Callithrix jacchus: one gene and its partner. The protein of the gene in region 2 interacts with the protein of the main gene of each other region in a pairwise test. Links are inferred from orthologs where the notes say so. Each region holds a gene or a part of one and is shown on either strand. Other genes may lie near its edges.

The links. The genes of interacting proteins can lie anywhere in the genome.
Region 1: the proteins of SKP1 (region 2) and FBXL8 interact in binary tests that used the Homo sapiens proteins (3 or more experiments, as listed by UniProt). The link is inferred for Callithrix jacchus from reciprocal best matches to the Homo sapiens genes SKP1 and FBXL8.

Annotation. Positions count from the first base shown.
Region 1 is NC_133521.1:24,668,525-24,672,727, reverse strand, and holds the start of FBXL8 (F-box/LRR-repeat protein 8), read right to left. Parts: upstream 2,859-4,203; 5' UTR 2,806-2,858; exon of another isoform or gene 2,761-2,805; intron 1,066-2,760; 5' UTR 1,015-1,065; coding exon 863-1,014; intron 646-862; exon of another isoform or gene 259-645; coding exon 1-258. UniProt on the Homo sapiens protein: Substrate-recognition component of the SCF (SKP1-CUL1-F-box protein)-type E3 ubiquitin ligase complex.
Region 2 is NC_133503.1:74,173,052-74,176,617, reverse strand, and holds part of SKP1 (S-phase kinase-associated protein 1), read right to left. Parts: intron 892-3,566; coding exon 748-891; intron 1-747. UniProt on the Homo sapiens protein: Essential component of the SCF (SKP1-CUL1-F-box protein) ubiquitin ligase complex, which mediates the ubiquitination of proteins involved in cell cycle progression, signal transduction and transcription.

The DNA.
Region 1 (4,203 bases), on a different chromosome or scaffold from region 2:
AGCTCTCGGGCCGCCCCGCATACTGCGTGCACAGCCTCCAGGACGTCGTGGCCCGAGTCGAAGAGCGGCTTTTCTCCGCGGCACTCCAGGCAGAGGCCTCGCAGCCCTAGGGCACGGTCCGCCAGAGTCATCAGCAGTTTGATGGCCGCCCGGCGACTCGGCTCCCTCGACGGCTCAAATTCCAGCCGTAGGTTGTGAACGTGGTCAAGGCAGGCGGACAGATAAGGTGGCAGCATGCCTTCCAGCTCACATTCGCAACTTGGGTTAGAGTCGTGCAGAAAAGGCCTCGGCTGAGTCCCCAAGACCGGGGGAGAAGCCTCTACCTACGCCTTAGCTGGGGTTCCAGCTGCCATCCTACTTCCTGCCTCCCTCCCCACCTCTGTACAGACCACACCTGTTGACCCAAAGGAGGGAACTCCCATCCTATCCTTTCAGAAGAGTTTAGTGGCATCTGCCACAGGTTGAAACCCGGGTATGGAGAACCAATGATATTTTAGGAACTGGACTTTCTCAGCTGTCTCTAAGGTGTCTTGGCCTGGCCTCTGGACTGCTAGCTTGGAATTCCGCCTCTGCCATTCCCTAGCTGAGTGATCCGTGGGAAGTGATTAAGTCTCTCTGCCTCAGTTTCCTATCTGGGCAATGGAGGTAATGATACCTATCTACCACACAAGGTTTTCGTAGGGATTAAATTAGTTAATATATGTAAGGCACTTAAAAACAATGGTTGGTATGTGTTAGGCAGTTAATAAATGTCAGCGATTATTTTTTAATATGGGGGAGTCAACCTGAATCTGCCTAGCCCACGACTCCACAGAGAAGGTGAAAGGGAGGCAGGGAGAGGGGTGTGGAGGAGCAGGCTCACCTGATTTTTGTGTCGTGCCACACTGCGCTGGAGTTAGCAGCGTCAGCCCAGGCCCTGCAGACCCTGGCGGCTGCAGCACGGTCCTTCAGGGACAGGTGGCGGAAGATGAGCGCCAGCACCTCCTCTGGCAGTCGCTCTCCAGGCTCAGCCATGGCCCAGATCCGTCTGGGGTGGGAGGATCCGCCACTCCCAATAGCTCTGGCCTGGAGAAAGAGGGATGTCTCTGGGCTCAGGAAGGCGCAAAGCGTTGCGGGAAGATCAAGCTTTGTTGTACAAACGCATGTGGCCTGAGGAACTGAGGCCCTCTCAGACATCATGGGGCATCAGATAACCCTAACACTTGTTCACAAAGCAGATTTCACAACCTCACCTACTAAATCAGGTTCTCCTGAAAGGGTAAGGCCCAGGAATCTGCATTTCAACAAGCCCCGGGTGACTCCACAGGTTCCACGTTGAGAAACCTCACCTTTTTTTTTTGAGACTGGGTCTCGCTCTTTACCCAGGCTGGAGTGCAGTGGCGCACTGACAACTCGCTGCACCCTCAGTCTCCCGGGCTCAAGCAATCCTCACACCTCAGCCTCCCTAGTAGCTGGGACTACAGGGGCAAGCCAGCAAGCCTGGCTAATTTTTGTAATTTTGTTGCAGAGACGAGGTCTCGCTTTGTTGCCCAAACTGGCCATGAATTCCTGGGCTCAAGCGATCGGCTCGCCTCGGTCTCCCAAAGTGCTGGGATTACAGGCATGAACCATCATGCCGGGCCTGAGATACCCCATCTTAACACCAGCAAGTGACTGCAGGGTTAATAAGGCGGGAACATTAATTCAGACTTTTCTTTGTCCGGGACCGTGAGCCAATCAGGAAGCGGGGCGTGGGCGGGGCACAGCTGAATACGCCCCGAGAGGGGAGACTCCTTCCCCGCCTCCGCCTCACGGGGATGTGTCCCGGGTGCTTCCTAAGACAGGGTGAAAAAAAGCTTGGGGCTCTGGGACCTGACGGCTGTGTCCCGGGTGCTTCCTAAGACAGGGTGAGAAAAAGCTTGGGGCTCTGGGACCTGACGGCTCTAGTGCCTGAGACGGCTCTAGGGACTCAAAGTTCAAGTTTCGAACCCTGAGCAGCCCTGCCTCCCGCGGGCAATTTGGATTCGGCTGGAACTCCGCACACCCACCCCGGAGCGCGGCCTTTACTGGGGGATGGGGTTACTGGAACGTGTGCGTCCTCTTTGAAGTTGCCAATCTTGGTGTTTTGTTTTGAGACAGAGTCTAGCTCTGTCGCCCAGGCTGGAATGCAGTGGCGCGATATCGGCTCACTGCAACCTGCGCCTCCCGGGTTCAATCGATTCTTTTGCCTCAGCTTCCCGAGTAGCTGGGATTACAGGTAGGCGCCACCACGCCCGGCTAATTTTTGTATTTTTAGTAGATACGAGGTTTCACCATATTGGCCAGGCTGGTCTCGAACTCCTGACCTCGTGATCCGTCCGGCTTGGCCTCCCAAAGTGCTGGGATTACAGGCTTGAGCCACCGCACCCAACCCCCAATCTTGTTTTAAGGTTCCTGAAGGTTTGCATACAGAAGGCTTCACACCAGTCGCCAGCTAATGTCCCCATATCTTCCGGGCTAAGTTTCTCCCGGAATTTGTGCCACGTGTTTCCTGGGGCTTCAGATACGCTCTACCAGGCTTGTACCTGGGACCCATGAGCACCCTGTTTTCAGTGTCCAGTCGTAGCAGCTATCATGCAGCCGGATCCCCAGGGGCACCAGAAAATTCTGGTCTACAGAGGGCGCCCCCTTTCTACCAAAGTCTGGCAACTCTCGCTCTTCTGAGCCCCCGGCCTCGTAAGAATCGCAAACCCCCAAAGTCCAGGTCTTCCTGCCGTCTAAACTTGGGCGCCTGTGTCTTACCTGCTCAGGGGACTAGATGGGCTTTGCCCGGTGCGAGGGACTGACCTCAGAGGACAGCAGGCGGGAAGCAGCCACCGGGGCGGGACACGCGGGCGGACAGGGTGGCTAGGGCTGGGGCGCCGCCCCAGAGCCTCCGCGCACACCCGGAAGCGGCGCGAGTGGAGCGGAGCCTGGCGGGCGTGGGAACCCAGGCCCGGCCGAGGCGGCCAGGTTAGTATAGAGGGGAGGTGGGTAGGTGGGCTCCCCAATGCAGGCGGGAGCCGAGGTGGATCCTGTCTCCGACGCGTGGGCGCGGCGCAGATGTCACCGGCGGCTGCTCTAGCCAGCTGGTGACGGCGGCCTATTGGGCTGTTCTCGTGGGAGGCGGGGGGCGGTACGGAATTTGGTGCCCGCAGGTTCCTTTTCCCTGACAGGGCTTTCGAGGGGCAGTAGGGCCCTGCAGGAGAGAGGGTGGGGGAGGAGGGGCTGGTTCTGAACACTCCCTTGAGCGGAGACCCCTCTGCCCACCCCAGTTAATCGCAAGTGCAAAACGCCAGCTTGAGGGTGGGCTAGTGGGAGCCCAGTAGCTAGTGGGCTACTGGAAGCTCCCCTCCAGCGCTCGGGAGCAGTGTAGCTGAGTAGGGGGTGTGCCTGGCCGGTCGCCAGGAGTCGCAGGCTTTCAGTTCTGAGCCACTCCCACAGGCGATCCCGGTCCATCCAGCCAGAGGTGGGTCTTCTCCCGGGACTGTTAGGTGTTCAAGGGGCACCGTGCTTGGCTCGCCCCTGGAAATAGAGGCAAACGTTGTTAGTTGATACTCAAGTGCCCCACAGTTTCCGCCCACCAAGATTTCTCAAGACCCAGCCTGGAAGCCTCAGCCCCGCCCAAAAAAGGAACGACAACAGGTGGGTGGGGCGAAGGGCTTCCCAAGAGGGGCTTCTTTGAAAGAACACATAGGAGGAGCTGCCAATCAGCGGATTGCAAAACTAGGGCCCTGGCCTCTTTACCCTGTTAACTCGACCTCCAGCCTGGCTCACCTCCGCCATCTGTCTGGTACCAGTGAGTGTGACGGAGCATCCCCCATCTCCAGGTTCCCAGAACTCCCTGCTTCCCCCCACAACCCCCACGCAGGCATGATGGGCAGACACTGGTCCCACTGAATCCCCACTTCCACCCTTTGGGGTGGGACCACATCCATCTGGTCAACATTCCCACCTCAAGGGGCTAGGAAGACCTGAAAGAGGGAACGTTTCCAGGGGAGGTTCCCGCTCTCTCCTACTTCCCAGCCCACTTTCCTAGGACTCACCTCCACTGCTGGTCTTACCTCCATGGCTGGCTCCCTGCCACGCGCTCCTGGACCCACTTGTCACTTGCAGGGCTTCCCCTGTTTTTTCTTGTTTTGCTTTCAAGGAAAACAAATTTATTTTGCTCTTTTAATACAAAGAAAATTTATCTCCTTCACATAA
Region 2 (3,566 bases):
TTAATTCAGAGTATTAAAATTCAGTGTCAATGAAGTTAGCAAATTTTAAATCTGTAAGAAGTAATATTTAAAGGCTCTGGAATAGAGCTATTTTATATGTTAAAAAAAACTTACCAGATGCCAGGCATGGTGGCTCATGCCCATAATCCCAGCACTTTGGGAGGCTGAGGCAGGTGGATCACAAGGTCAAGAGATTGAGACCAGCCTGACCAACATGGTGAAACCCCATCTCTACTTAAAAATACAAAAATTAGCTAAGCACGGTGGCACACACCTGTAATCCCAGCTACTTGGGAGGTGGAGTGAACTGCTTAAACCTGGGAGGCAGAGTTTGCAGGGAGCCGAGAACACACCACTGCACTCTAGCCTGGGCGACAGAGCGAGACTCCGTCTCAAAAAAAAACAAGGCCGGGTGCGGTGGCTCACGCCTATAATCCCAGCACTTTGGAAGGCCGAGGTGGGTGGATCACAAGGTCAAGACATAGAGACATTCCTGGCCAACAAGGTGAAACCCCGTCTCTACTAAAAATACAAAAATTAGCTGGGCATGGTGGTGCATGCCTATAGTCCCAGCTACTACGGAGGCTGAGGCAGGAGAACTGCTTGAACCCAGGAGGTGGAGGTTGCGGTGAGCCCAGATCGTGCCATTGCACTCCGGTCTGGGTAACAAGAGCGAAACTCCGTCTCAAAAAAAATAATAATAAATAAATAAATAAAAATTTAAAAAATTAAAACAAAAAAACTTACCAGAATGAGTTCAAAAAGTGTTCCTTGGTCAACTTTCAGGAATTCTTGGTCCCAAACAGGAATATCATCTGTTCGCTTTTCTTTGTTCTCATCATCCTCAGGAGGAGGAGGGTCATCCTTGTGGTGGGTGCACCACTGAATGACCTACAACAACAAGTTGATTCTTCAGTGGCATTTTGTCAAAGGTACTCATTCCACTGCTGGGACAACTTATCTCTATGTTGGGATAATAACTAGCTAGAGGTTGACTTGAGCAATTAACAGCCAAGCTTGAAAAGCAAAAATGAAGCTTGAAGAATCTTTATAACCCTAGAAGGCAGAAGATCTTATTAGATAAAAGCAAGCCATGTAGACAGAGTACCATACTTGACCACATTAAAAAGCTTCTACGCAGCTGGGCGTGGTGGCTCACGCCTATAATCCCAGCACTTTGGGAGGCTGAGGCAGGCGAATCACAAGGTCATAGATGCGACCAGCCTGGCCAACATGGTAGAACCCGTCTCTACTAAAAAAATACAAAAAATTAGCTGGGCATGGTGGCCGGTGTAATTTCAGTTATTCAGAAGGCTGAGGCAGGAGAATCACTTGAACCCAGGAGGCAGAGGTTGCAGTGAGCCAAGACGGCACCACTGCATTCCATCTCAAAAAAAAAAACGTTTCTATGCAAAAAGAAAAGTTAGACAGGACAATGACTGGAGGATATCTCCAAAACGTAGAACAATGATTAGCCTAGAGAATATAAAATATTTTAAAAGTCACTATAGAGAAATGGGTTAAAGATATGTACAGGCAATAAATGAAAACTGAGTAGTCAAATGTAAGGAACACTCAACTTCTTAGAAGCAAAACTAACACTACAGATACTTCTCTAGAATGAAAAAAAATCAAGAAATTGATACTAATTGTTGGACAATAGTGGAAAGGAAACACGAACTCGAGTATAAATTGGTATAACCCATTTTATACTAATCCAGCACTCCTTAGTAAAGCTGAATATGTGCATATACTGTAACCAGGAAATTCCAAATACCCCAGACACATCTGTAAGACTATATGGTGCAACAACAAAACAGCAAAAGCCCCAAAGTTCCCTTAATAAGAGAATAATGACTTCATAAAGTTTCAGGAAGCTGATTACCTACATACCAACATAAAGACCAAAATCAATACTTAAAGTGTTTTAAGTTGTAGAATCTAGGCAGTGGCCGTATAGGTGTCCACTGTGTAATTCTTTCAATTTTTCTGTATGGTTAAAACGTTTTCATAGGAAAATGTTGGAGAAATAAACAATGCTGAGAGAAAATAGTAGAGCCAAGAAATTATATTGCCAGGATACAAAAAAACAAAAAAGAAAGAAATAACAGTTTCAATAAGGCAAAGCCAAGCAAGGGTTTTTTGTTCATTTGTTTTTGAGACAAGGCGTCACTCACTGTGTCACCCAGGCTGGAATGCAGTGCCGTAATCATGGCTCACTCGACCTCCTGTGCTTAAGCAATCCTCCCACCTCAACCTCCCGAGTAGCTGGGGCTACAGGTGCATGCCACCACACCTGGCTCATCTTTTTATTTTGTTTTTGTAGGGATAAGGTTTCATCATGTTGCTCAGGCTGGTTTCAAACTCCTAAACTCAATCAATTCACCCACCTTGCCCTCCCAAAGTGTTGAGATTACAGGTTATGAGCCACCATGCCTAACCAGCAAAGGGTTTTAATGAAACTTCTTAAGCAGTATTCCAATAATATAAAAGGAACAAATGGCAATTAATATTTGCTTATCTGGGCATTTTAAAAACTCTAAAGCTAGGCACAGTAATCCCAGAAATTTGGGAGGCTGAGGCAGGAGGACTGCTGAGTGCCAGAAGTTCAAAACTAGCCTAGGCAATGTAGCAAGACCCCACCTCTACAAAAAAATGATAATAATAATAATAAATAGGCTGATCGAGGAGGCTCACACCTGTAATCCTAGCACTTTGGGAGGGTAAGGTGGGAGAGATGCTTAAGCCCAGAAGTTCGAGACCAGCCTGGGTAACATGGTGAAACCGTCTCTTTAAAAAATACAAAAATGAGCCAGGGGCGGTGGCGTACATCTACGGTCCCAGGTACTCAGAAGGTTGAGAAAAAAGAATCACTTGAGCCCAGGAAGTTGAGGCTGAAGCAAACCATGATTGCGCCACTGCACTCTAGTCTGGGCAAGAGAGAAAGAGATTCTGTCTCAAAAAAAAAAAAAAAAAATTACTACCACTACTAATAAAAAAATAATAAAATTTAAAAATAAAAAACTCTTTAAAGGATATATAAGAAACTAATGCCTGCCTACGTTCACAACGGGTAGCGCCAGTAAAAAAGAAAAACAATAAAAAATGCCACATTACTTTCTGGGGGGAATAGTTTCCCATCAGATAAGAGACAACGATGGGAAATTTTACTGTACACTTTCAGTTTTGGCATCATGTAATTATTATTCAAAATACAATATACATTCAATGCAAACAGGCTTTAAAAAAAAAAAAAAACTTCTTAGCTAGGTGTGGTGGCTCACACCCATAATCCCAGCAATCTGGGAGGCCAAGGGAGACAGATCACTTGAGCCCAGGAGTTCCACACCAGCCTGGGCTACACAGTGAAACTCCACCTCTATAGAAAATACAAAAATTAGCCAGGTGTGGTGGCATGCGCCTGTAGTCCCAGCTACTCAGGAGGCTGGAGTGAGAGGATCACCTGAACCTGGGAGGTAGAGTTGCAATGATCCATGACTGCACCACTGCACTCCAGCCTAGGCAACAGAGTGAGACCCTATCTTAAAAACACAAAACAAAACAAA